Rhinolophus ferrumequinum: one gene and its partners. The protein of the gene in region 1 interacts with the protein of each later gene in a pairwise test. Links are inferred from orthologs where the notes say so. Each region holds a gene or a part of one and is shown in the gene's direction. Other genes may lie near its edges.

Region 1 (6,845 bases):
CAGTGGAAGCATGGGGGGCCGGCTGCAGGAAAGCTGGACTTGCTGGGTCTCAAAGGGGACCCAGATGGCAGACCTGCCAATGGATTTTATTGGTCTTGTACAATGTTTTAAAAAATTGAGTCTACATTTTGAAATTACATGACTTCACATGAGAAGCGTAGATTTCTGACTCTCTTGAAATAACTGGGCTCATATTCACACAAAGCAGCGGAGGCATGTCCCCTCTCTAACCGCTCTGGCCTCTTTCCATTAGGTCCCTGTAGTAGGTTGAACAGTGTCCCCTCTCCAAATTCATGTCTACCTGAAACCTCAGGATGTGACCTTGTTTGGAAATGGGGTCTTTGCAGATGTCATTAGTTAAGATGAAGTCATTCTCGATTAGGGTGGGCCTAATCCAGTGACTGGTGTCCTTATAAGAAAAGGAGAGGACACAGAGAGACACAGGGGAGAAGGCCATGTGTCACAAGCCAAGCCAGCAATGCCAAGGATCACCGGCCCCCACCAGAAGCCAGGAGAGAGGCATGGGATGGATTCTCCCTCAGAAACTCGAGAAGGAATCAACTTTGCCGACACCTTGACTTCAGACTTCTGGCCTCCAGACCTGGGGGAGAATCAGTTTTTGTTGTCTGAAGCCCCTCAGCCTGTTGCAATTTCTTACCACAGCTCCAGAACACCCCGTCGCCGCTTCCCTTCTTTGCCTGGCCCACCACTGAGGAATTTTGAGTGTGATACCCTGAAGAGCTGCACATGACTCACTTCCTCCAAAACCCTTCCTCGGAATCCTGCTCCCCTTTTCTGCACTGAGGACTTGGCCTGCCCAGCCAGGGCCTCCTCCTGGCTCCAGGCATCGGCTGACCGCCCCAGCCAGGCCAGCAGCTCCATCCAGAGGGCAGTGGAGAGAGCCAGTAAGTGCATAGTCAGAGCGCTCAGGCTGATGCAGTCTGCACCCCAGCCCCCTACATTGGGCTAGCCTGTGGTTCTGCTATGGCCCCCAAAGAGAAAAAAAATGGAAAGGGGAGGGTTTGGGGATCCAGTATGACCTGACAGCATCACTTCTTGGATGTGCCCTGCAACAGGAGTGCGCCCCGACTCCTGCTCCCCCATTCTCCTCTCACTTGTTTAGGGCGACTCTGCTTTCTTATCAGAAGGCAGTGGGGATTCATCTGGAAGAATGGGTTTCCACCCTGGCCGGTGTTCTTGCCATAGCCTGTGGCAGTAAAACAAATGTGCCCAGGCCTCACCTTAGGTACCAAATCAAGAAATAAAGACGCTGTTTTGTTACGTTCTGCAGGCGATTCGGCCATGAGTCTGGGCTGAGAACCACTAGGCTGTAGGGGAGGGTCTTGGTTTACCTTCATCGGAAGTAGATTCTGAGTCAAGGATGCACGTGCCAGTAGTTTATTTCGGAGGTGACCCCAGGTACATGAACCGGGGAGGGGAATGAGGCAGGGAGGAAAGGAAGCCAACATGGGGTGCCTTACAGAGCCGGTCCCCACCGTGGGCAGCTGGAGCTCAGTCTTGCTGGAGGACTCTGGGAGCCAGTGTGGAACATGCGAGAGCATCCCACCTGAAGGAGAGGGAGATGGGATCTATCCACTCGGGCCGCTTCCAAGTGCATTCATTCCCTGGCACTTCTGTCTTACCCCTGTGTGTTCAAGCATATTCCCACAACCAGAAAAATAAGCCTCAGGGACTGTCACATGTGTTCTCTGTCATCTGCCTTTTGGCACGTGGAGGTGAAGATCCAGGGAACAGGGCAGGCACCAACAGCATCTGCTACAGGTAGACAAAAACAAGACAAATCACCAGCACCGTGCCGAGGGCTCGTAGGTGCAGGCAACAGGCAACTTACCTGCATTAACAGGTTCAGTCCCCACCACAGCCCCTCGAGGCAGGCTATAAATAGCCTGACTTACAGCTGAGGAAACTGAGGCATGGAGACGTTCTACCCAAGGTTGCATGACGCAGGGAGTCACAATTTTTCTCCTGATAGCTATAGCACAATGGAAAGCAAGCAAGGGCGTTTACACTGCACTTACAGCAGACGAGAGGCTGACTCTGAAAAGAAGAGGCAGCTGGGTGACCGAGCTCGGAAAGTAGCTTTCACTGTCCTCCTACGCCTGCCTGCCTGGCCTGAGCTTACTGTCACATAGCAGCAGTCATTCTCCCCCTGCCCACCTCAAAGCCCACATCCAAGATTGCAAGGCCCAGAGGGAGTGGGGAGTATTCTCTCCCCCCTTCTGAATTCTGGCTTCGGGCTGCCGGAAGGCCACCTCCCCAGATGAGCCGCACTGGACATGGCCATGCCTTTGGGGGAGACCCATCTTCCATACCACCCCCCCCCTTTGACCTAAAATGCCAACCAGGTGAAAATGCAACCTCCTGAGCTTACATGAGAGACATACACAATTGGAAGGGTCGTTTCATCCCTTCCTGTAAATGCGGCTTTCGCTTTGACATCCCAGAATTAAATTACCGCTGGAGTGTATGACACATGTAGGCACCCAGGCACGAGGAATGATTGGCAGAGACCCCTGCCCTCCCGATATCTCCTTGGTCAGCCTGCCGTGATGCTCACATTTCCGGCCACCGTTCCTCACTCTTTCCCACGAAGGTACGGTCAGCATGTCCTTGTTCAATGCAAATTTGTTACCTAGCTCCAGTAACATATTAATCCGCCAACACCAATTCATCATCAGTTTTCACATTAGCAAAGAGTAAGGCAATGAGATAATGGAACCTGGGACAGGTGAATTTTGATGAAGAAGGAGCAGGAAAAGCAAGAGCATGAGTCATTGCTGGTGAGAAATGGCTCAGAAGGGGGGTTGGGAGGTGGGCTAGGAGGGCAGCAAAAGGGCTGGGGGCGGAGGGCTGGTTGGATGGGACCAGGGCCAATTGGAGCGGAATAAAGGTTTTTCTGCTCTCCTAAGCCAGGCTGCGGAATCAGCCTGGGATGGAGAGACCTTCAGGCTCATCCATGTCATTTTACACATGGCCCAAGTCCTTGGGATTTTCCCAGCGTGGGGCTCCATGTCTACACCTGGCCAATGGTCAGGTCTGGCAAGTGTCGTTGCCTGGGGCTTCCTCAAATCCAGGCCTGGCCGCCATCTCTCTGGGCTCACCCATCTCTGCAATCGCAAAGCAAACCCGTCTCCGAAGTCAAGAAGTACAGGGAGGGGGTGGGAGGAGGGCATGTAAATGCTTTATAGAGTTGGAAGGAGCCTTAGCGAACTTCTGTCACCCTCATTTCATAGTGGAGAAACCGAGGCCAGGGAGTCCTCGTGACTTGCACCCGTCACCCGCTGGTTATTGGAGGATCTGAGGCTGGAACTCAGGCCCACACAGTGTCCTCCTCTTCTGGGCTCAGCGGAAGAAACTGAGCACCACAGGTTGAGTTTGAATTCAGATCAGCAAGCAGAGGGGAGCCACAGCAGTTTCTGATCAAAGAGGGGAAAAGGATGGGTGAGGATTGCAAAGCGAAATCAGAGCGGGTGTGAGGGGCGGGTGCAGAAGCCCAGCACGTCGACAGAGGCAGCAGCTGGAGGGAGGGCCCTGGCACTGGTCGGGAAGAAGGGGTGTCTCTTCCTAGCGCTGACCTCTGTGCTCGGCAGGACCCCAAGCAGCCCTCGGCCCTCGAGGCTGGTGGCGTCCGGGATATTTCCGAAAGCGGGGACCGGGGAAGTTGCACCGCTGGGGGGAGGCGTAGGGACTCCCGCCCTCCGGTCCCCAGCGCCCCACCCCGGGCCGGGAGGGTGCACTGCTGGGCCTCGGCCACGAGATGGCGCCGGTGCGCCGAGGAAGCGCGACAGCCTCTCCCGGGCCGCCCCAGCCGCGGCTCCGCCGCCTCCTCCGAGGAAACAATGCGGCGCCTCCCCGCGTAGCGCGGCGCGGGCAGGACGCCGGACACCCGAGCGCGGGCAGCCAAGCGAGCGGCGGGGCGGGCGCGGGGCGCCCTCGCCGAGAGCCATGGGCGCTGCGCGGCGCCGGGCCGAGGAGGTGCGCGGCCCAGAGGCTCAGGGGGCTGGGGCGCGGGCCCGGGGCCGCCGCTAGCCGGCACCGAGGGCGCGGGCCCGGGGATGAGGGCGCCCGCGGCGGGGATCCCGTCTGCGTGCCGCGGCGCCGTCCCGCCCAACGAGCGAGCCCGAGCAGACAGACGCGCGGCCGGCGGTCTGGGGGCGCGCCGCCTCCCGGCCCCCAAAATGTGAAGCGGTGAATGCGGAGACGCAGAGACGGCCCGGCCGGGCGCCCTCGCCGCCCTCCGGCAGCCGCGCTGCTCCCCTTCCCCTGCCCCCCGAGGCCGCGTCGACCCCGCGGGCCTCCGCCAGAGTAGCGAAGCCGCCGAGCCTCCGTGCCTCCCGCCTCGCTCCCACCGGGTTTCCACCCGCAGCGGGCTCGTGGCCCGGACGCGGCGGGAGAAGCGCCCGGGACAGTGCGTCCGGCCTCGTCCGTGGCTCCTCGCCCAGACAAGTTTGAACAATGATCACAGTCAACCCCGATGGGAAGATAATGGTCAGAAGATGCCTGGTCACCCTGAGACCCTTTCGGTAAAGTTCTCTCTGGGTTGGCGCGGGGAGGTCTTTTTCCCCGAGGGGGCGCGGGGTGGAGGTGCGCGAGGTCTGTTCTGGCGAGGGTGCATGCCCGGTGGCAGAGAGGGCAGTTTGTGCTTCCACCCGTGGTGAAGCCGGTGGGCTGGGGAAGGAATGGCTGGGGTTCGGGTTCATGTGGGGAAGGGTGTGTAATTCTGGGACGTGTCCAGAGTTGGTCTAGGTTGGAGAGGACTCCCGGTGCAAGGTGGGAATGCGGGCAGGAAGCGCCCAGGGGTGATCCTGGGCTCGGGAAGTCTCCTAGCCAGGACGCCCCTTCCCTGCCCCTCGGGGTCCTTCCCCAACTCGCCGACTGCCCCACCCCGGCGGCAAAGTTAGCGCGCAGTATCGGGCTGCACCCCCACCCCGCCGGCCCGTCGAACCCGGGTCGGCCCGCCCACCCCCTCTGCCTGTGCCACCGCCCCCTGCGCCTTCGTCGTGCGCTGCCCTTCTCGTGGCGGTGTGCGGGCCTTTCTCCAACGAGAGGGTCCCCGAGATTGGGGCAAGGAACCCCACTGCTGGGGATTCGACACCCGTTCGCGGGCGGTGGAGAGGCGGGGCCAGGGGCGGCGCTGCGGGCAGAAGGGCTAAGGGAGCCCGGACCGCGGCGGGAGCGTGGAAGCAGGATGGAGGCCAGGAGCGGTCCCTCTACCCCCCCAACCTCTGGTGGCCAAGGCCAGGAAGGGCCTCGCGCGGGGCAGGACAGGCTCTGCTGATCCCAACCCATGGGGCCGGAGAGCCCGCCGGTCCCCGGGCAGCTCCCTCCTCTCCTAAGAGCCGGTGGAACCCGGCCTACGGTCGGGATTGGGCAGAGGGCGCTAAGCGATGGGTGTCCAGCGGGTTCAGAGTGCTACCTCGCCCGGGGAGTGGGGGCGGAAGGACGCTGGGGGGGCCAGGGTGGGGGCCGCACTCCGGACGTGGGCCTCACTCCGTTGCGGCCACAGGTGAAGGTCTAGGGCGCAGGTAGGAGCCCGCGAGAGCAGAGACTGGGCAGGCGGAGGCGCTCGAAGCCTGGGCAGTGGGGGGGGCCGAATTTGAGCCCCGCCCCTCCATGCCTCGGGCTAGAGCCCCCGGCCCTCCCAGGGCTCCCGCTGTTCTCCCTTCAGTCTCTTGACTAGGAGACCGTGGCTCACGTTGCGACCGACCCCACAACACGTCCAGCCCCCTCCATCCGTCAGGCCAGTTGTGCGGGGCTGAGGAGACAGCCTTCAGGCACGACAGGGGTTATACTGGACCACCGCTGTCTGGAGGACGCGGGAGGACCATCGGGCTGGGGGGTCTCCTAGGGTAGGGCCTCGGGCTGGTGATTGGGAGGGTGTCAAGAGCCCCCGACTCAAGGTTCCCATGGGAAGCGGGCGTCTCTGGAAAGGGCCTCTCTCCTCCAGGAAATCCTCTAATCTCTAGCTGACTGGTACTGGTGAAAGGGTCCTTGCCCCGTCTCACCCACCCTGTGTCCAACCCGTTGACCAGGCCGCGGGAAGGCCAGCCGTGCTCAAGCTTTAGCCGGATGTTTCTTGGTGTAATTAGAAGAAGCTGGAGGACGCAAGCACCATGGACAGCGTCTGCTCCCAAGCGCTGCTTCCCTCTGGGGTTCTGTCCTGGTTCCTTCAGGCAAGAGCAGGATTCAGGGGTAGGATTGCACAGATTCCCCTCCTTCCAAGTTGTGTAACTTTGCCTCAGGGACTCCCTAGGCTTCCCAGAGACCCACAGCTGCCAGGGGAGTCTTTGTGTCCCCTTCAGACGGGGGTGTGGAGGGGACAGACCTCCAACCACATCACCTGTACTTGCAATCCTCAAGGGCAGGCTAGAATGATCCCAGGATTGAGGTCTGACAGAGACAGATGCAGAAGGGATATGCTGGGGGCTTCAGGTTCTGGGCTAGATCTTAGATGCCTTCTCTAAGTTCAACTCCATAGCTGGGGAAGTGGGTGGAGGAAGTGAGGGATGAGAAACTTGAGGGGTCTCTGCCGGTCCTCAGGCTGGGAAGACAAACAGCTGATTTCCTTAGGACCTTCTTGGGAGTGCGACCACCTCCTTTTTACACTGTCCCTCTGGCTGCTGTCCTGAGACAAGACTGTTTTAATCTTGGGGATCCCAGGCCCTGAGACCCACCCCTGGGGTTGCTAGAATTTGGTGAGGTGTCTTTGGGAGGTGAGGGAGCAGTGTCTCTTGTGCCATCTTGTCTGTTCTTTCCTTTTTTTTTTTTTTCCTCCTGTCCTTTCTGTCACCTCCTGAAGGAAGTGCCCAGTGCCCTCTCTGCTT
Region 2 (7,890 bases), on another chromosome or scaffold:
AAGGTTACACTTTTCAGCAAAATGCCCTCTCTCAGCAGCAGGCTCCCAATGGACACAATGGCGACTCCCAAAGTTTCCCAGTTTCGCCTTTAACCAGCAATGAGAAAAATCTGAAACATTTTCAGCACCAGTCACCCACTGTTCCTAACTGCTTGTCAACAATGGGCCAGAACTGTGGCTCTGGCCTAAACAATGACAGTCCCGAGGCCCTCGAGGTCCCCTCTTTGCAGGACTTTAACGTTTTTTCCACAGATTCCTGCCTGCAGCTTTCAGATGCAGTCTCGCCCAGTTTGCCAGGTTCCCTCGACAGTCCCGTAGATATTTCAGCTGACAGCTTTGACTTTTTTACAGACACACTCACCACAATCGACCTGCAGCATCTGAATTACTAAAAACATTAAAGCAAAACAAAGCATCACAAAACAAAAACCCCTTTGACCAGGTGGTTTTGCCTTCTTTTATTCTGAGTTGATTTTTATTTTATTTTCTTCTTGACCTACTCTCTCCCTCCTCTAAATGTTGAAGATTTTCTGTTTAGTGATTCCCCTGACCCAGTTTCAGAGGCATCTTTTACAGATTATTTTGGAGTTTTAGTTGTTTGAAATCTAATCCAACAACCCTTTATGTGATTTACTGAAAGCAATATATGAGGCCTGCAAGAAAGTGATCATATAATTGTATCTTCACTTTCTTTTTATTTTTGTATTACATTAGTATGCATTGTCATGCGTATTTTTGGTAGAATAAATTCTCCTTTGCTATAAGTAGCTTTCTTATTTTTTTCTACCCCTCTTTCTCAAGGCTCCTAACGGTTTCTTTTTCTTCTTTTAGTCTAACTTGGTAAATAAAATTCTGGTCACAATTCATCTTCTTTTTCAATTTTAATATATTTATTAAGGGGGCATGTTCAAAATCTTCAATAGACAGCAACAAAAAAAGAAAGCCAGAAAATGGTTAGGGCTTTTGAAAAGTGTTTTTTTTTTTTTTAATTTAAGGGAATGGATTTGTTTTTTCAGTGTAGAGGTTCAAGCCATAGATTTAAATTGGTAATAGAAACAAGATTGGGAAGCCTCAGAGTTGGGCCAAGCCCAAGCTTTTGATAGTGGAGAAATAAAGTGCCTATAGAAACCCCCAACTCCAGGAAGAAGGAACGCGGAGTTTCTTTAACAAGCTACCAATCTCCAGGTCAATAACTAAGTTATCAAGAATTCATTTATTTATACACATTTGTTTCAAACATCTACATTCCGACCCCTCCCCCACAAATCCCCGAACATTTTCAGTGTGGTTGATTAGTTTCCCAGCTGCTGATGGCTCCAGGCAAACAGACCTAAAAGATAGAGAAAAACAAAAATAAAACAAAATGATGGTTACTGGCCGGAAAATGCACTTCAGAAAGGGTTCTTTCCAATCCTCTCGTTCAGTCATTCTAGGATTCTTTTTTTAAGGGTCAGAAAAATCAATATTTCATTCTTAAATCTGTTTACATGGCAAATAATGGATCATTAAAGCTTTGAAGTCAGGTTAGCAAGTTGAGATTTAAAATGGAGTATTTCTGCACCCTAGGTTATAAATTAATCCAGTTTCTAGAAAGAGAGATAAAGCACTTTAAATGATATATCAATAAAATGTGATCTAGGGTATATTACTGGGTTGTTCTGTTTTTTTTCCCCCCTCCTTATGTCTCCCCATATTTATTTTTCCCTTCCTGAGCTCTGTTCTGACGGCTACTTACCGTGAGAAAACGCAGCGTGTAAGCAACATGTGTGGGGGGCGGGTTGATTTAAGAACCCAGCTCTTAATAGCAAAGGCTTGGAAGTTACAATGAAATCATGGTCTTTCTCCAAGGGTTTGCTATCTACCTTCCCCCACCCTTTTACCCCCAAATCCCAGCAGCGGCGGAGGCGTGTGAGGACCCTGGCGGGTCTCCTGCCCCGGGCGCGGCGCGGAGCAGGGCGGCCCGGCAGCGGCCAGGGCTGAGCCGCTGTTTGCGATTCGTCCTACGCTCATAAATCAAACGCTTTCTATGAATGAGAATGTCATCAAAGAGATCAATTGCAGGAACACATGCACAAATAAAAATCCTCTTACGTATTTGCCGGGGATCCCCGTCCGAAAGCATTAAGTTAGAAGGCGTTTAGTCATAATTCATTTTTATTGCTCTTTTAAAACAACAGCTTGGCTGAGCCGCGTATGCCAGGAACAGCTCGCGGCCTCCGCAGCGGCGTTTTGTCTCCTCGCTCCTTCCTTCTCTAGTAGAAGAGCCCCGAAAGAGGCGGTTGGAGCCCAGCAAGCCGCTTGCAGGAGATCATTTAAATAGTGGCCAAGCTCGCTTTCCACCCACTCTCCCCGGGCGTTTAAAGGGGCTTTAGCTCGAGTCGTAGGGCGCTGGCCTACTTGCCCAGAGGACCGAGGGTCTCCTACCCGGCAGAATGAGCCCCAGGATTTCGTGGGGGTGGGGAGCTACGGAAGCCTGCGGGCTCGCGGCCAGGGAGGCTGCCTTTGTGAGCAGCACCGGGAGAGCAGCGCTCAGGGCGGCCAGCCGGGGCGGAGCGGACTCAGCTGCGAGAGCCGGGCCTGCGGGGAGAGGGGAGCACTGCGCTGAGGCGGGTGGGTAGCCAGTTCAAGTGCCTGCCTCTGTGCCCGTTCAAGCTTGTGATCCCAAGAAATACACCCACCCCTGCTGGCCCTGAAAAGAGCCCGGGAGGGAGGAAGAGAGGAGAGAAGAGGTCGAGAACTAGCAGAGGAAGGACAGCGGTTGTGGCGGGGGTGGCTTTGCGGCGCGAGCCTTGCGGCCTAGGACGTCGCGTAAACCCCGGGCGGTGGAGGCCAACAAAGGGGCAGGTATAAGGCAGGGGGGAGAACATACCGACGAGCTTCGGCTCGGATTGCAGATCGTGCGCAATGCCAGCAAGGACCCCCTCATGTCCTGCCTCCATCCCCATAGTAGCCCCTTCTCTCGCCGTCACTGAAGGCCTTTGCGCTCCCAAGGAAGCCGCCTCCAGGAGGGCCGCCTTGCCTTTTCCCTTCTCCAGGATGAAGTTCCCCAAGTGCTGAAATTGGGTCAGGAGTGAGCTTTCCTGCCTGTGCTCCCTCTTAACCGTGATTGGGGATGGGTCAAAAGTCACAGGAAAATAACTTTCCAAAAAGAAATGTTTAGGGAAAATGTTTCTTTGCCACTGAGGGAATCCACAGTCAAATGTCTGCAAGAGTTTTCCCTCTTGGGAGGACACGTTTTGAGGGAACTTCTGTATATGGAGAACAGAACTCAGAATACAATCCTTAGATAAATTTCATCTGTCTAATTCCGATGTGGTAAACATGGTCAGAGTAAAATCTAGACTGCATTGGCTGCGAAGCTTCCTGGATGATCTCTGGATTTCTACCTAAGAATGCTTCAATTCTCGGTCTCTGTTTGGCCTTTTCTCTCCACAAGCCAAGGGTTGACATGAAACCTAATAGTAAACAGCAATTAACGACCCCGTCAGAATCTGGGTAGGATGAGGGTGATGGAGAACAGGACCCCTGGCCTAGAATGACACTCAGATTTGCACGTGTCTCTCTAGGGAAAGATCTGAAGGTTCACACAAGGAACTACACAGTTACAAAAAGGAGGAGGTGTTGTGGGGGAAGAAGAAAATGTCCCGTCCACCATCGGCCATCTGTTCACCGCCCCTCCCACCTGCCAGCCCCCATCCCCAATTCAGATACGCAGTAGAATGGGGTGGTGGTGAATAAAGGAAGCTCTATCAACTCCTAACATTCTCCCTCCAGAAAACGAGAAACGTTGCGCGGGGGGTGTGGGGTGGGAGTTGAGCGTACTTTGTGGGAGCTGTAGTCTCGCCCTTTGAGGGCTCAGCCGCAGCGCGCCGGCTCCTGGGTCTTGGGGAGCCGGCAGATGGCCTGCAGCGCATGGCCCGGCCCCCACGCTGGCCACGTCCGCTAGCGTCATCTTTCTCCCCCGCCTCCTAACCCTCAAAATCTAGCGGCCGAGCTGCTCCGGATCCCATAGGGCTCCCAAAGCAAAGCTGAGTGGGGAGGAGAAAGGGGCGGAGAGCCAGGAGAGAGGGAGGGCGGAGAGCCCAGCGGCCCCGGCCTTTTCCGGCGAGCTCAGCTCCGAGGGTTCGGCCAGCTCCCGGGCGTCAAATTACCGAAGCTCCTCACACCCATGCTAATAGTCCGTGGGGGAGGTGGGGTGGAGGTTAGAAGTTTCGGAGACCCTCCTTGGAGAAGGGAAGTTTCTTTCTTGTCCACGTCTCCTCCACGCCCTCCCAGCCAGCCCTCTGCGCACTTCCTTTCCATTCCGAGTCTGGAAAGCTGGTGGCCCATCCTTAACCGAAGCCACCATGCTCTGTGCTCCTCACTGCCCCAAGGCACCACAGCAGGGAATGTGCAGTGAAAGCTCCGGGGGAGCTTGGGCTGCTGTGCCGGCCCGGTTCCTACCCTTCCTGCTCGGCGCGCTCCGATCTCCGGCCCACTGATTCCCGACCCAGGAGAGCACGGAGCTCTCTTCCCTTCTCACCTCTTGCCAGTTCATCTTTCTGAGCGCGGTGGGGAGGGGGCGGAGACGAGAAAGGGATGCTTCCCAGCCCCCACCTCGGGGGGGGGGAGGGCGAACGGAGTCGGCGCGCGGAAGGCAAGCCTCTGCTCCCCTTCGCCCCAGAGCTCGGAATCTGCCCTAGCAGCCGCCGCAGCTGCTGCCGCTGCCTGGGGGGGCGACTGCGCGTCACCTAGACTGAGGAGCGCCGGGGATTTAAATGCCACTGAAACGGTGATCCATCACTGCGGGAGCCAGCAAACTTTCGCAGGAGGCTCCGCCATTGGCTGACATAGTCACGTGCCCCTCCCGTAGCGCCCTCCACCCTCCCGCCCCCCCCTTGCGCACTGTACATTCATATCATTTTTCTTCTCCGGCCCCATGGAGGAAGTGAGAAAGTTGGCACGGTCACCCAGGACTTCGCAGGACCCGGTTACTCAGTGACAGATGGACAATGCAAAAATGAGCTCCTTCCTGGAATACCCCATCCTCAGCGGTGGCGACTCGGGGACCTGCTCAGCGCGAGCCTACCCTTCCGACCATGGAATTACAACTTTCCAGTCGTGCGCGGTCAGTGCCAACAGCTGTGGCGGCGACGACCGCTTCCTAGTGGGCAGGGGGGTGCAGATCAGCCCGCCCCACCACCACCACCACCACCACCACCATCACCCTCAGACGGCCACCTACCAGACTCCCGGGAACCTGGGGGTGTCCTACTCCCACTCGAGTTGTGGTCCAAGCTACGGCGCGCAGAACTTCGGTGCGCCTTACAGCCCTTACGCGTTAAATCAGGAAGCAGAAGTAAGTGGTGGGTACCCCTCGTGCGCTCCCGCTGTTTACTCTGGAAATCTCTCATCTCCCATGGTCCAGCATCACCACCACCAGGGTTATGCCGGGGGCGCGGTGGGCTCGCCTCAGTACATTCACCACTCATATGGACAAGAGCACCAGAGCCTGGCCCTGGCCACGTATAATAACTCCTTGTCCCCTCTCCACGCCAGCCACCAAGAAGCCTGTCGCTCCCCTGCATCAGAGACGTCTCCAGCGCAGACCTTTGACTGGATGAAAGTCAAAAGAAACCCTCCCAAAACAGGTCAGTCTTGCCATTCCATGATGTCCCTTGATGATTGTGGAAGGAGTTTGTATGCTTAGTGTCCAAGGGATATATATATATATATACACACATATATACACATATATATATACACACACATATATACATATATATACACACATATATACATATATACATATACATATATGTGTGTATATATATGTGTATATATATATATATATATAATTTTAAGTTCTTGCTACACACCAGTGTTGTAGGACGTGGGGAGATTGCCCTGGTGTGTTGGGGCAAAGGACCGTCTGGGACTGTTGTGTTTTCAAAGGGGCTGAGGATTAGAGGTTCTGGAAGTAGGAAGTGGGAAGTTGTGTGTGCTGGGGGAATTCTGTTAATATCTATAGGCTCCATTAATCACGGGTCTGACCACGCTAATGGCTGACTTCAGATTAACACTTTACACCTCATTACTCACCCTCCCCAGACTGGTGTGTGTTGTGAAATTCTTGATCTCCCTTTTACCTGAATATTGTTCTGAAACTGTAGGGGATCTCATACTGATTGTAAAAATTGTACCTTTTTCTCTGGTCGCTTCCCACCCTGTCCCTAGGGAAAGTTGGAGAGTATGGCTACGTGGGTCAACCCAATGCGGTGCGCACCAACTTCACCACCAAGCAGCTCACCGAGCTGGAGAAAGAGTTCCACTTTAACAAGTACCTGACGCGCGCCCGCAGGGTGGAAATTGCCGCGTCCCTGCAGCTCAATGAGACCCAGGTGAAGATTTGGTTCCAGAATCGCCGAATGAAGCAGAAGAAACGAGAGAAGGAGGGCCTCTTGCCCATCTCTCCCGCCACCCCGCCGGGAAGCGAAGAGAAGGCCGAGGAATCCTCAGAGAAGTCCAGCTCCTCGCCCTGCGTTCCTTCCCCGGGGTCTTCTACCTCAGACACCCTGACTCCCTCCCACTGAGGTCGGCCCAGCCCCAGACTCCTCAGCCCAGGCTCTTCCTGGGCTGGGACTTCTTACCCAAAGCACATTCTTAGCTTATCTTCCTTTCCATTTGCAGTCTCTCTCTTTCTGATCCTATCTGGGGAGCTCCTGGGCAGGATAATGTGTTTCCAGAGAATTCTTCACTTGATCTGGGGGGTGGGGTGGGGTGGAGGATGTTAACTCCTTAATGCAGATTGGGTGCCAGCATCACTTTTCTGATGGCTCCTAACACCCCTCCCTACTTTTAGGCAATTTCCGCGGAACCTTCTGTTCCTTTCAGATGCCCTTTGGAAAAGTCTCCTTTGCCAGCAGAAACATGTCAGAGAAAGGCCTCTCATCTTTTATCTATTTGTATATTTACAGTTCTCTCCTACTTTGACCTCAAAGAATGATAGAGAGAAAGGAGAGAGTCCAGGAGCTCATGAAGAAGAGATGCACTATGAGTGTGTTTACACGATTTGTTTTTTAATTTAATTCAGTTTCATGTGTGTGAGTTTGCTGGTTGTAAATACTTTGTTCTGAGAGATTTATCTTTATACAGATTTTTTTAGAAATGTTTAGATTAAGTGACTAAAACAGGGTGGGCAAACTCTCAAAGCTGGTACAATTTTATATGTGATTCTAGGTTAAAGAATAAAAGGCATCATTTCAACTCAATCAGTTGCCTCAGAGGGTAGCCTCAATTTATTCTTTTAGAGAGTTAAGAAAGCCTGCAGAACACAAGGTTCAGAAACCTTGTTTCCTGTGCTTAAGTCTCCCTTCATCCCCACCCCTTTCTTGTTTCTCTGGCCACACCACTCTATTTCAACTCTGTGCTGGATTATTCAGAACCTAAAGGTATTATTCAAATGAGCTTCTTCTTTCTACAGTTATCTTAGCTGGAACTGGTGTATTTTCAGCTCAATTGTTAATGTGATGGATGGCACAATGAATGTATATTTTGTGTGATTCGTGAATAGTCTTTTGCATGTCGCACAATGTTTTGATGTCCCTGAAGTACCACACTGAGTTCTATCAGTTATCCTCTGTGAGCCTATGATATTCCCCATTTCCTGTACAATCATGAGCAGCTCTGAGATCCTGGAGTGATGTGATCCAGAGCAGAGTTTACGGGTCTTAAGATGTCTGTAATAAATACATTCAAGTTTCAGATATGCTTAAGCATCCGTGTATTTGGCTTGGTTACTATTTGTTGGTTCCTACAAAGTTGGCTCATTTCATGTGGGGAAGGGGAGACAGGTGGTGTGCATTTTCAAGGAGGTGGGACTTCCCTTGAAAAAAAAGTAAGCGCTTTCTA
Region 3 (5,606 bases), on another chromosome or scaffold:
ATGGATAGATGGTGGAAAAAGTATATAAAAGAGATTACTGACTTGGCTAAGTAAAGGTCAGTTTTTGTTTGATAAAGAAAACCTGTTATATTTTGTGAAAGCTATGATGTTAGTCAGCAAATATTTATTAAGAATCAACGAGGTTACCTCACATGTATTGAGAATAATGATCAGACCTATCGGAATAGGGATGTTATGAAGATTAAATCAGTTAATACGTATAAAACATGTAGTACTATGTTTGGTATATAATAAGGACTCAGTAAATAGTTGGTAATAAAGGTTTTATAATATAGTCAGGAAATAAGACACATACAGAAAGAATGTTTTGTTTGTAATGCAAAGGTGTGTGTGTGTGTGTGTTTGTGTGTGTTTGTGTGTGTGTGTGAATTAATAGTAATTATACAGATTTAAGTCTGGAAATATCTACGTTGGTAGAGGGTATTTATAAAGAAAGGGCTAATTAAGCTAAAGCCTACAAGATGGAAAAATTAAAGAATTGTTCCAGTTTTATATCCCACATATCAGTCAGATCATATGGTTCTCAACTTTTTCTGTCTAACTTATTTTACTTAGCATAACAATCTCAAGATCCATCTACATTGTCCCAAATTGCACTATTTCATGAACAAGACAATCAAAGAAACAAAAACTCATAGACAAAGACAATAGTTTAGTGGTTACCAGAGGGTAAGGTGGAAGAGGGGTGGCAGATGAGGGTAAAGGGGGTCAAATATATGGTGATGGAAGGAGCACTGACTCTGGGTGATGGACACACAATGTGATATATAGATGATGTATTACAGAATTGTACACTTGAAACCTGTGTAACTTTACTAACCATTGTCACTCCAATAAACTTTAATTTAAAAAAAAAAAAAAGAATTATTCCAAAGGAGACAAGGGTAAGATGAATGAAGAGATGTGAAATGAGCTAATTGGAGACATGAACAGAGAACCCAGCAAGACTGAAGATAATTTCTATTGGGAAGCAGAGGAGGATGAATCAAGTGTTTGGACAACTTTCTGTGGACAAAGGAGAGTCATCAGCATTTTTGAGTAAGAGAGCCATCTGATGAAATGAATTTTAGGAGCATTAACCTACATACGGTGTTTAGCCCACAGAGATGACAATAGCAATAGGTGTCAAGATGGCAGTGAGAAAGGCACGTGTTTACCAAAGGGGAACAGAACCCTACCTGAGTGATGGCGGTGAGAACAGAGCGGGGAAAAATGGATGACAAGACATATTAGTGGATCAAGTAAGAAAAGCATTACAAATAGATTTTCACTCCTTCCCATCTGTTGCAAGTTAATCACAGCACTCTCTTCTTGAAATCAGTTACTGGATCACCATGCTTAGAGAACAAAATCTTAACTACTGCCTTGATGATTGAATTAGATTCACCAGGTAAACCTAAGTTTCATTATTACAACTTACCTCTAAGAACATTTCACTAAAAGCACCGTGTAGTCATTTTTCCTGCCTTTACACGTTCTACCATAGTCTGAAGTGTCTTTCCTTTCCCCAACCCCCTGCTGTTTCCTACTAGCCTTCAAAATTAATACCAAATACCAATGTTTAGGCAAACCAATAAGCAATGTTTGCCATTCTCTGTACACCATTTATAGAATTTAGTGAACACTGACATGGATGGTGTATCTGTTTTAGCACATCTACAGAATTGGATGCATCTGGAAAAACACATTGATAGTGTCTTGGTATCATTGTCAGAATCTATCATAATGTTTTGCATAAATAAGGTTCTCAATAAATATTTGTTGACTGAATGAATGCAAGGTATGTCATTTATTGGCAAACTTTTATTGTTGCAATGCTCTGAGGATTCCTTGTGTCCAAGAGAGGAAGAAATTCAGGATTTTTCCTCTAGATTAGGAGAGGTAAGGATCCCTAGTTAACTGAAGTAAAAGCAACAAAGTGGATAAATCTGGAAGAGCCCACAGGATGCCCAGGTCCTCAGTCTATCTTTAGGCTCTTACATCAGAAGCAGAGCCTGGGACCTGTAGTTTATAGGAGACTGGTAATGAGGTACCTGCTGTGCTGCCCACGTGAGCTCTTCTTCCCCTTTAGTGATACAGTCACTATCGAAAGCATCAGTTCAACATTTGTTATATTAAGGGCACTGCATTTTCTAAAATTCTGTGGATATTTTTGCAGTGTTATCTACCCACAGTAGGAAAAAATAACTCTCATGGTGGTGCTGTAAAGGAATTAAACTGAGGTGGTACTCCTTGGAATGGGTGAAGGATGCCAAAGCGAGAAAATAAATTATGTAGGTACAGTATCTCACAGTTTACATTTAAGTTTTCCTTCCATCTAGATTTATTTTTTAAATGACACCACAAAGTAGTTATTAATACTCCCATGGTTCCATAAAATGATACTGATAGTGACTGGGGAATCAGAGCGATTGTGCAAATTGCTCTACTAGATGATGGTATCACTGTATGTCCATATGATGTCATACTGGATAATGGGAGAAAAACAACCTTTAGAGGGTGAAGGACCACCAAACAAAACCCCCTTTGTTTAAATGGTTTTTATTCATATCAATTATCGTAACTTTCTACATCTCAAGTTTTCTCATACAAATACTTGAAATAGTAAAATTTACTATAAAGAATGGTGCGAATAAAGTGATATTACAGATGTGGGTACCTACACTGCAAGGTGTTGCCCAGAGTAGACAATAAATGAATGCTAGTTTTATTCCACACCCATTCTCTTCATGCAGAAAAACCCATTTGTTTATGCATACAACATAAACACTACATACACACAAATATATTGATGTACTAAAGATGCAGGTGTTGGGCTCTTGATTATATTAGAGAAGAACGGGCATAAAGAGCATCAACACATAAATTTGGTAAGCATTCGGTTAAATATGGCTGCACCTATTACTGACACCATTCAGCGGCTGCATCCAGGATTTCACAAGATGCTAGCAATGTGTACAAAGGTACCAAGTGATGAAAACTGGAGGGATTGAGGGGATTCTTCAAGTGCTTGAGGTACAAATCATCACAGGGTAGTGTTCTCTGACTTAAAATACTGAGATAATCTCAATGTGTTAGTACAGGACCTATATAATTTTCATTTTCCTATTTCTGGTAGGAAAATAGTCCTATATTGGCTCATAGAGAAACCAACCTTGCATTTCAGAGATTCTACTCCTCCTGTACAGAGGGAGACCCAATAGGTGTGGGTGTATCCACTAAACATCAAAATATAACAAAGTGTTGTGACTTACATTGGATTTTAAAGGAAATTGGAAATTAGATAATAAAATTAGAAATTAGATAAACAGATAATGAAAATTCCCATTAATATAGTCACTGGAGCTGCTACATATGTTGGTATATGAACAAGGCAATGGAATGGTTGAGGCTAAACACAATCATGAATTTTTTAATCCAATTTTTACCAGAAAATATATACCCGAATAGCCGTCAAAGTGTTCATACTTAGACAAACTCTACATTTATTCTGATGTTATTACCCATGTAAAGCAGTTTAGAAGCTTCTCTCTGGAAACTGATATCAGGACCAATGTAAAAAACAAAACCAAATCCAAGTCCGTCTCTTAATCATTATGTCTCTCTCTCTCTTTTTTTTTTTTTTAATGAAAAACATTAGTTTTCAGTTGGGACACAAGTAACATGAATACATAATCCTATAATAGGTATAAAAAATGTAATTTTGTTCAATTGTCTTTAAGGGATTCTGTTGATTTGCTTTTGTTTACCATAGGATCCATAGATTTACCTGACCCCAGCTTGTTTATCTATACGTATTATGACAACTTTAAACATAAACCAGCTTTCAGCTTGACTCTTTATTTATTTATTGAGACGAATAAGAGGAGCATGACTTCTTTTAAATAAAGATATTTTGGTGGGAAGTCACTTTCTATCAGAATTCTAAAATAAAACAAAACACATCTGGACACATTGACATTTCCCATATTATACTACTTTCAAACTCTTTCTGCTCTAACCCACATTAGATATAGGATTTTTCACATTCTTTTACACATACTTCCTTTTAAGCTTCTTACTAGGATTCCTTCTCAAAGAGAAATAATTTGCCAGTGTTTCAAAGAAGTTTGCTACAACTTTTAAAGACATTTCCAAGAGAATAATTCTATGAATATTTATGCAGTGGGGCTTATAACAGGAATAAGTAAATGACCTCCAAAAGTGGCAATTTGGTTGGATAATTTGAGAGGGTGAGATCCTATTAAAATTCAGTCACACTGTGTTATTTACTTAATCAATGGAAGGCCTTGCAAGTAACCGCATTTTATAGGAGTTGAGAGCATCCACTTCCGGGTCATAATGAAGAGTTCTGATGCAGCCTCATGCAACTAGGAGGAAGAGAGTCTGTATACAGAAGCACCGTCTTCTGCAGATATATAAGGGATCAAGTCAGATGAGGAGCACAAAGAAACTTGAGACACATTTCTTTCCAATCAACCACAGCCTGCCCACAAAACCTCACTATGACTTGCCCCAACTCCTGCTCTGGAAACTACAACTTGGGATCCCTCAGAAATCCCTGTTATATTCCTCTCTCCTCTTCCAATGCCCTCTGCTCTACAAATGTGAGCCGTGAAGATGTCCTCTGCTTTCCCAGCAGGTATCAAGATGGTATCTGGCTCATGGACAATTGCCAAGAGACCTGCAGTGAACCAACCAGCTGCCAGTCACAAAACTGTGAGCCCAGCAACTGTGAAACTTCCTGCTGCTCTTCCACTGCTTACTATGGGCCCAGACCCTGCCAAGGAACGCGTTTTCTTCCTGCTGCTTCTTTCACCTCCAGCTCCTGCCTCCCAATATCCTGTCGACCTCTGAGCTCTATGTCCAACAGCTGTGGACCCCTGAGCCTCCTTACTTATGGATGCCGCCCCTTGGGGTGGATGCCCTGTGGTGCTCAGCCACTTAGTGTTGTGTCCAGCAGCCTCAGACCTCTGCATCCTCTCTTCAGTGGATGCCAACCTCTGACCCATGTGTTCAGCCCCTGTCGTCCATCTTGCTTTGCACTAGGAGGCCAGGAGCTTCCTTGTTCCAGCTAGCAATCGTGCTGAGGATCAAGGACAAAAATTCAATCTTTGGGGACTTCTGCTTCTTTCCTAGTAGTGAGTGACCGCCTTTTCATCTTTTCAGTGTGCCTGATCTAAGGCAAGCTGCCCCTTTCACGTTTTTCTCTCCCTTTTTTTTTCATTTTTCCTTGATGTGAAATTATTTGGTTTACGATGCTATTCATTGTCACTCAGGTGTGGGAAGAATTTATTTGGTTTGTGTTGTAATAAATGAGATTAAGCCAGAATTAAAAATCTGGGTCTTCAGTTTGTCTTTTATTATTCCATTTTAACACAGAAATGACCAACCTCAACTGCTTGCAAGATAAGTGAATAGGACATGGGCTACTGGACCACATATTCTTATCTGACAGTAGGGGAATAACTTTGATGGTTTATTCCTCAAGCTGCTTTCTAGATCTGTGATCCTATGTATTTGAGAGATCCAAAAGACCTTGGTTGAAGTTATTTTGAAAAGGCAAGATTAGGAATGCTGTCTTT
Region 4 (7,648 bases), on another chromosome or scaffold:
TCCGCACATCCGCTCACTTTCCCGCCGCGGTGCTTTGTTCCAGGACTTGGGGGGCGGGGGGAACCGCAGAGAGTTACGGAAATGGGGCTCGTCCTAGGGAAGAACTGCACCAGCGCCCTGAGAAAGAACTCTGGGGGAAAGAGACTGGCATGTCAGTTTGTTGCTAAGATTTCCTTGGCCTTTTTTGTTTTGAATTTTAAAGTCAGAGGAGAAATACTATCTTAAAACTCTTTTAGGGGGCGGGGAGTGGTAGATGAGGGTAAAGAGATCAAATATATGGTGATGGAAGGAGAACTGACTCTGGGTTGTGAACATACAACATGATATATAAATGGTGTATTATAGAATTATACACCTGAAACCTATGTAACTTGACTAACAATTGTCACCCCAATAAACTTTAATTTTAAAAGAACGGTTTTACAGCCAGTGCTGCTCTCATTTTACCTTGGAAGGTAGGAGTTTTTTCTTTTCCTTTACACAGAAGGCAAACAGGGTCTGCAGGCCGCCACTCCGCTCCTCTTCCAAAATGGTGTGGGGACCTGACCCACGCCCTCCTGCTACCTGCGGGGACGAGCTTGTTCTTTTGCACATGGCCACTGCCTCCAAATCCCAGATCTGAGGGGGGAATCCGCAGGTCGGCCGAAAGGCGGAGGCCGCGGGGGCATCTGGGGCTCGTGGCCAGAATGGGGAGTGAGCGACTGGGTGGGGGTCTTCAGGGGATGCGGACCTGGACCCCAGCCCAGTGGGGAGCGCTCCGAAGCGCTTTTCCATTCCCTCCCTTCGAAAGCGTGGAGTTAAGGTCGCCGCTCAGTGGGCCCAATGCAGGAGCGACATCCCTACCCCACCCCCAAAAGTTGGGAGCGGGCACAGCCTGTGTTCGGGCTGGGTCTGATGAATCTGCACCAATGGGAGCGCTTTCTCGGGCGTGAACCACTGGCTTCGAAAGTTCGAGAATCTGAAGGACTGAGAAGCAGCATCTGCTGAGGCTGCACAGGGCCGACGGGGTTGCAGCCCGTTCCCCGCCCTTGTTTGCTCCAAAAGACCTAGGCCTCTGGAGATCCTCGGGCTGCCCACTGCCAAAATGGTATGAAGACATGACCTCCCAGGACCTTATTTCAGCTCAGCCGCGTCCCCCGGGACCGCCAAACGCAGGTTCAGGCGTCCCGGCCTCACGTGGCCTCTGCGCCGCGCCCCAGAGAGCGGCTTCAGGGATGCATGGGGGTTGTGGGTGCGCATGAATTAATTGAGGGAGAACAAGGGCATTATTGTCACCTCAAGAAATCGATTGCTAGTTGCCCCACCGCATCACTAGACATTTGTTCCCCGCTTTTCAATTTGAAGCCAAAGAGCGATGCCTAGAGGCACGGACAGCGTGAGAGCTGAGAAATTCGTAGGCCGGGAGACAGGGCTGGTTTTCCTGCATTCAAAGGACTTTCTGCACGCCCCTGGTTTCCAGCGTCACCGTGGTCGCGATTAAAACGACAAAATAGGAACTCTGACCTCCCCCTCCATGAGATTTCAGCAAAGCCGAAAATTGCCTGATTTATTATACAGCCGGGACAATGTGAAACTGTCTTTTTGTTTCTCGAGGCGAGAAGCCGCTACTACTAGGACTCCCAGATTTGGAGTCAGAACAAGCTCCATTTCTCCGCAAGGATACCTGCATTCCGCGAGCTTTTAGATATACACACACCATGGGATTGAGTGCCGGCCAAGAGAAAGAGAACCACATATGCACATTATCTTTCAGCCTTTCGCTGTTAATACCTGTCACAGTTCTACCCAGTTAATTGTGGTTAGAAAGCACACATGCACATACCCCACCCTGAGCAGAACACGAGTGGGTCCAGTCTAGTGAGGTTACATTTATTTGTGATCCTTCCCCCTCCCTTTCCAAGGTCTTTGATGATTTTTCCCATAAGTGTAAGCTGCCGGGACTTAGTAGAAGCAGGCCGCTCCTTCTAAATGTGATTCGGACCATATGCTTTCCACATTCATCCCCGCTTCAGCTTTTCTTCTCTGCACTAACTGCTAACACGTTATAGTCACCTTGAAATTTCCTCTGCTATTTTCCAATTAAAGGCTTAATAGCCCTGGAAACGGAGTTCATGTGGTGAAGTTTACCATAGCCCCTTGTTCTAAAAGGCTTTCTGCTGGGATCCCATTATGTGCTTGAATAAACCCTTTCTGCAAACAGAAATGGGACTCGGGATTGTCAGGTGTTGGGTTACAATAGACTTTGAGGCAGGGGACATTTTACCAACATAAATACAAACCTGTCCCTATAGGGGGATGTTGTCAAATACTGGGATATGGAAAACATTCCCATCAAATATGAGAAGAGGATTATTGCTCTATATGAAATGAGTATTTCGATCTCGGACCCCGATGTGCACTGGAGTGAAACGGTGCCCCAGGACCAAAAAATGCCAGACTGTTTGAGTAGCAAAGGGATAGGGTGGCTAGGTGACCGAGGGAGGAAAGGGGGTCGTCTTGCTAGTGGGAATACCACCGCCCTCCAAACCCGGGGCAGAGCTTTTCTGCTTTTCTTTTAAAAAAAAAAATGCTTTACTCCCATGATTTTTATACTCCTGGTTTCTCTGACCATTTGGACAAAATCAGGAGAAATGTGGCTTTCAAACAAATCCATGGTCCTCGCGTTCCCAAGAGACCCGGAAGTTTCAGCGCGAACGTTCCCAGATTCAATGTCATTCTAGGCCCTGTCTCTGTCACGTGAAGCGACTCGCTGCCAACTCCCCACTTCTCGGCCTCTGTCCCACCGGGCTGCGGGTGACCTCTGCCTCCAGTCCCGAGAGTTTATGAAGTTCCTTCCGGTTGTAGTGTTTTTGGGCTTCCTTTCCTAGCGAAGACTGGGAGGAGAGGAGGGATTGAGGTGATGGTGTTGGGGGTGGGTAGGAAGGGGAAAAAGACTGAGGGGTCCGTGCCACCACGGTTTTGAGGGGAGGCCTCTCAGGGTTAGCATTCGTGCAAGTGTACCTGTTCATCTCCACCAGAGCAGCATCCAGCGATTCCCAACCCCCGGACAGCTCTGAACCCGGGGCCGGGGCGGCTAAGGGCTTCAGGGGAAACGCACACACCTGCCCTTTTTATCCCTCTTCCCCTCCCAGAATCACCCTTCTAGGAGGAGGGTTGGCTGCTAGAATGCCTGGAGGTGCTTTACTTGAATTCACAACAAACACAGAAGGACGTTTTCAGGTTGCTTGTTTGCTTCAAGGCAGAGAAAAGCGACCTCCCTGAGGTGACAAGGTCCGCTATACGGCCGAAAGGTTGGCTATTGCAGCGGAGTCAACTACGCTCTCGTTTCGTATTCGATTCGCCCAGAAATGAGCTCAGTGTCTGCTCTCAAGAGCATGCGGACCCAGCTCCGGGACTGGCATCTCCCCCTCTTCGCAGTGAGCAGTTGTATTGCCCTGCGCCGCTGTACCCTCCAGTGTTTTGTTTTTGTTTTCTTGGATTGAGAGGTGGGGTGGAGGTTAGTCGTCCCTGTGCGTTTGCGGCGCTAGTCTGCATTAGGCCAAACCGGTACTCTATGAAATTAGAAACGCGCAAATAACAGTTTAAACAAAGTTTGATGCTGTCATCTTATGCAAGCCCCCCCCCAAAGACAATGCGGTGACAGAAGAATGACTCCATCCCTTATCTATTACTAAGTGCCTGAGTCCGTGGAGATTTGAATTGGGTGACACGAGACATCGGTTTGATGGTTCAGTGGCTGTTGGACAGAGGGGAGATCATAGCCAGTAACTTTTGGGGCGCTATCGTCGCTTCCTCGTCCACTCTAAAAATTTAGACCCAGCACTTAACGCAAATCCTCCACACCAGCGCTTCCCCCTCCTTTCAAGACTGAGACTGTTTTTTTTTTTTTTTACTAAAACATGGGGAGGAGAATAAAGAGATTAAACTCAGAGCGGAAGAGGGAGGACTGTGCCTGCAAACTGGGTTGTCATTCTTGGGCTAGCAGGTTTTCAAAAACATTCATTTTCTTCGGCAGGAGTAAGATTTTTTTTTTTAATGTTGCAAAAGGAAATCAAGAAAGAGCCCAAATTTCCTGAACCAATTCCACTACTCTACTCCCAGTGGCCTCAGGGCCTGACTCGCCCCAACTTAAAACCCTCTGGACTCATGCCGGGTCCCGAGTACATCCGCAACGCTGCGGAAGGCTTCGGTTCTCGCGGAGCCGCGTTTCTGCGGCCAAGTGCTGGGATAAAAGCAGCCTCGGGCTCGGTGCCGCCAAATCAGGCCTGGTGGGAGGAGAAGGGATCGAAGGGGAGCCGGCAGCTCACTCGCCTATAGGCACCCCCACCCTCACCCCGCTGACCCTCCCCTTCTCTGCCTGGAGTGCATCACTGCGTCCCAGAGCGCTGCAGTCCCTCCCGCCAGGGGCAGGGGAAGCGCAGAGAGCTTGGAGGAGGGGGCCGTGAGCGCCCCCGCGAGAGCTGCCTGGCTGCAGGTGGCAAGGTGATGTGTAGGCACTCGAGGGGCGCAAGGAAGGAGGAAAGCGTGGGGTGGAGTGGGGAGTGCAAGGAGTCCGGGACCCCGGGGGTGGGGGTGACACTGGGAGGGAGGAGCAGTGGGGGGAGGGCGGTGGAGGAGGTGCTGGGCCCGGGCAGCGAGCGCGGGAGCTGCAGACGAGCTGGCTCAGACCTTAACCAGAGTTCTCGCCGGCTCCTTGTAGCCGCCGGAGCGCCTCGGCGAGGGAGGACGTGCGGGCTAAAGCCTCCGCTGGAAGAGACGCGACCCGCGTGGGACTGGCGGAGTACCAGCGGGAGGCTGAGGCTGCGAACGCCACGGAAGCCATAAAGACGGCTGCTGCACCACCGGCCGTCCCGGAACGCACGCGGCCTCCAGGGCTGCGTGACCAAGGACCGCGCCCCGGGGAGGCCTCCCGGGAGCGGGCTTCCCAGTCCCGCAGTTCAGCGTCCCGTGGCCCGCTCGCGCCGCCAGCCCGCCAGCTCTTCCGGGAGCCTGGGGCATGAACGGCTACGGCTCCCCCTATCTGTACATGGGCGGCCCGGTGTCGCAGCCGCCGCGGGCGCCCCTGCAACGCACGCCCAAGTGCGCGCGCTGCCGCAACCACGGTGTGCTGTCTTGGCTGAAGGGCCACAAGCGCTACTGCCGCTTCAAGGACTGCACCTGTGAGAAGTGCATCCTCATCATCGAGCGTCAGCGAGTCATGGCGGCGCAGGTGGCGCTGCGCCGGCAGCAGGCCAACGAGAGCCTGGAGAGTCTCATCCCCGACTCTCTGCGCGCCCTGCCGGGACCCCCGCCGTCGGGGGACGCCGCCGCCGCCCCGCAGCAGCCCCAGACCTCGCAGCCATCTCAGCCGCCGCCGCCGCGCCCCGCCGCCGAGTTGGCTGCCGCCGCCGCGCTACGCTGGGCCGCCGAGCCCCAGCCCGGGGCGCTGCAGGCACCGCTCGCCAAGCCAGGTAAGAGCATCTGCGGGGCGGGAGCCGGGCCCGGCGTTAGGGGGAAAACACTTCGGAGCTCCTGCGGCGGCTCTGCCTGGGAGGCCCGGAGGCAAGTTTGAGGAAGTGGGCCGGGCCGGGCCTTCCTCCCCAAACCCCGCCAAGCTGGTTCTTACTCTCCGTGCAGAAGCCGGCCTTCAGCCTGGATCCAGCAGGTAGAACCAGGCGCCCGCAGGAAAGATTCCGTGGGCAAGCCAAACGGCAGGACTGTGCGACTGGCCTGCCAACTGTCACCACTAGTTTAAAGGGGAACGTGGCCGTTTCAGTGGGAAAGTAAAGAGGTCGAAACAAGACCATATTAAAAATCCACGCGGGCATACACACAACGGTGCGGCAGGATTTTCCTGGCTACGAACTTCTAGGGAACCTTGCATTTGGAGATAGGGACAGGTAGATGCAGGGACAGAGCCAAGGCCCAAGACTTGGCTGACTGCTAGCTGGGCGTGCTTCTCGGCCCTGGGGGAACTGGAGCGAACCCGAAGCCTGCGTAGTAGTGCGCACTGTGGCCTTCAGCCTCTTGTAATTTGTTGAAAGAAGGCTCATTTAGAAGCAATGCTAAGAAGGGCCAGAAAGACTTCTAAACTTATAGCGAGGACCCAGAATCTAGAGAGCCCAGAGTCAACTCCTTTTGCAAAACTGCTCAGGTCCTTTAACACCTTTACTGGGTCCGCCCTCAGTTGTCTCTGTGGTTTAAAGAAACAAACAACACTTGATCTATAGCGAGGAAGGCCACCTCTGGCTAGCCCTTTCCCGATTCTAGGTAAGCCTGGGCCTCCAGCTGCTAAACCTCAGATTTGGAGCAAAGGCTCTCTGGTCCTCTTGCCTCAACTCTCCTCTTCTCCGCTGCCCTGCTTTGTAGAGGGTGGACTGCCCTGAGCCCTGAAGGTGGGCAGATTCCCTCACCCCCAACTCCTGCTGCCATCCCTTTCCCTCCTTCAGGCCTCTGGAGTCTGCAGACCCCAGTTGAGTCTTTCTCCTCAGGAATCTCTAGCTTGTCCTGCCCAGCCCAAGTGCTCCTTTAATTTTAGGCTCTTGGAATTCAATGGACATGTGTTTGGTGTTTCCCTTTCATTGTGGCAAATGTACAAAAGAAAAAAGCCCATCTTCTCAGGGAGGGGGTTAAAGGGTATGCTGGAAGTCTGAGAGCGAAAGCCCTGGAAGGCCCAGAGCCCTGTATGTAGAACTGTGGTAGAGCTTCTGTCTATATCTCCCACTCTCACACACGTCCAAGGAGATTGTGGGGGTCTGCGAATGCTTCTGGCTTCTGGAGAGAAGCTTTCAGGAACAGTGAACTGCTGTGTGGAGCTGGGGAAGTGCAGACTCACTGGTTTAGTGGTGATTTGATAGGCAGCTTGGCAGGCACAGTTTTGCTGCCCTGTTGCTCAGTTATACTTTCCAGGCCAGAAGCTCTTAGAACGTCTTATGTGAAGAGCAGAACTGGGTATTGTAAGGACAGAAGAGAATTTGCTGAACATGGATGTTGTGGATATTTAATCCAATATAGGATATAAGCATTTCTCTGGTAATGTCCCCCACCCCAGTTGTCTCTTTTCTGTCAGTCTGATCTCTTCATATTTGTAGATTAGCCACAGAGGAATAGGAGGAGGGAAGAGAAAGAAGGCCTAGTTTACTTTTCTTCTTTAGGTTAGAGAGAGTTTTGTCTCAGTTCTAGAAGCTGATCCCTGCTAGTAATTTTTCTTAACCTTTCTGTTTCCAGTTTCCCTATCTCCATTTCCTCAGCACTAGAGCAGGGATCTGAATTTGTCAGTGGTAGCATTTTGCAGTGGCCACCTGCCCAGCAGCACTCCTGTAATAGGGCTTTGGATTTTGGGATCCTAGTCTTAAGAGAGGATTCCTTCCACATCCTGTGCTCTTCAAACCATTCTTCTGGGTAGCCAAAATTCATGGCTTCTAAAGAGTCACAAAACCAAAAACAATCCTGGGAGGGGGTAGTGAGGGCAGGAAGAAAGGTGGAGCTGCAGCTGCAGCAGCAGGAGGATACAGCGTTTGGGAGAATGAACGAGGGAGACTGATTTCACCTGGACAAATCAGACCTGATGCTCTCTCTTTTACTCTAAGTATTCAGGGATAGATAGCCGGATCCCTCCAAATTGAAAAGAAGTAATTGCAAAGGAGAATAGGATTTACTGTGTTTCCCC

The links.
Region 2: the proteins of MGAT5B (region 1) and HOXA1 interact in a two-hybrid assay, tested with the Homo sapiens proteins (2 studies listed by BioGRID). The two-hybrid records come from large-scale screens. The link is inferred for Rhinolophus ferrumequinum from reciprocal best matches to the Homo sapiens genes MGAT5B and HOXA1.
Region 3: the proteins of MGAT5B (region 1) and keratin-associated protein 26-1 interact in a two-hybrid assay, tested with the Homo sapiens proteins (3 studies listed by BioGRID and IntAct). The two-hybrid records come from large-scale screens. The link is inferred for Rhinolophus ferrumequinum from reciprocal best matches to the Homo sapiens genes MGAT5B and KRTAP26-1.
Region 4: the proteins of MGAT5B (region 1) and DMRT3 interact in a two-hybrid assay, tested with the Homo sapiens proteins (2 studies listed by BioGRID). The two-hybrid records come from large-scale screens. The link is inferred for Rhinolophus ferrumequinum from reciprocal best matches to the Homo sapiens genes MGAT5B and DMRT3.

What each region holds. Positions count from the first base shown.
Region 1 is NC_046304.1:51,372,727-51,379,571, forward strand, and holds the start of MGAT5B (alpha-1,6-mannosylglycoprotein 6-beta-N-acetylglucosaminyltransferase B), read left to right. Parts: upstream 1-3,834; 5' UTR 3,835-4,476; coding exon 4,477-4,544; intron 4,545-6,845. UniProt on the Homo sapiens protein: Glycosyltransferase that acts on alpha-linked mannose of N-glycans and O-mannosyl glycans.
Region 2 is NC_046303.1:14,535,053-14,542,942, forward strand, and holds HOXA1 (homeobox protein Hox-A1), read left to right. Parts: upstream 1-4,880; 5' UTR 4,881-4,984; coding exon 4,985-5,630; intron 5,631-6,216; coding exon 6,217-6,572; 3' UTR 6,573-7,733; downstream 7,734-7,890. Other genes in the region: HOXA2 (homeobox protein Hox-A2), read left to right, coding at 1-392. UniProt on the Homo sapiens protein: Sequence-specific transcription factor. Regulates multiple developmental processes including brainstem, inner and outer ear, abducens nerve and cardiovascular development and morphogenesis as well as cognition and behavior.
Region 3 is NC_046285.1:96,858,463-96,864,068, reverse strand, and holds keratin-associated protein 26-1, read left to right. Parts: upstream 1-4,526; coding exon 4,527-5,099; downstream 5,100-5,606. UniProt on the Homo sapiens protein: In the hair cortex, hair keratin intermediate filaments are embedded in an interfilamentous matrix, consisting of hair keratin-associated proteins (KRTAP), which are essential for the formation of a rigid and resistant hair shaft through their extensive disulfide bond cross-linking with abundant cysteine residues of hair keratins.
Region 4 is NC_046295.1:34,674,834-34,682,481, reverse strand, and holds the start of DMRT3 (doublesex- and mab-3-related transcription factor 3), read left to right. Parts: upstream 1-4,648; 5' UTR 4,649-4,996; coding exon 4,997-5,450; intron 5,451-7,648. UniProt on the Homo sapiens protein: Probable transcription factor that plays a role in configuring the spinal circuits controlling stride in vertebrates.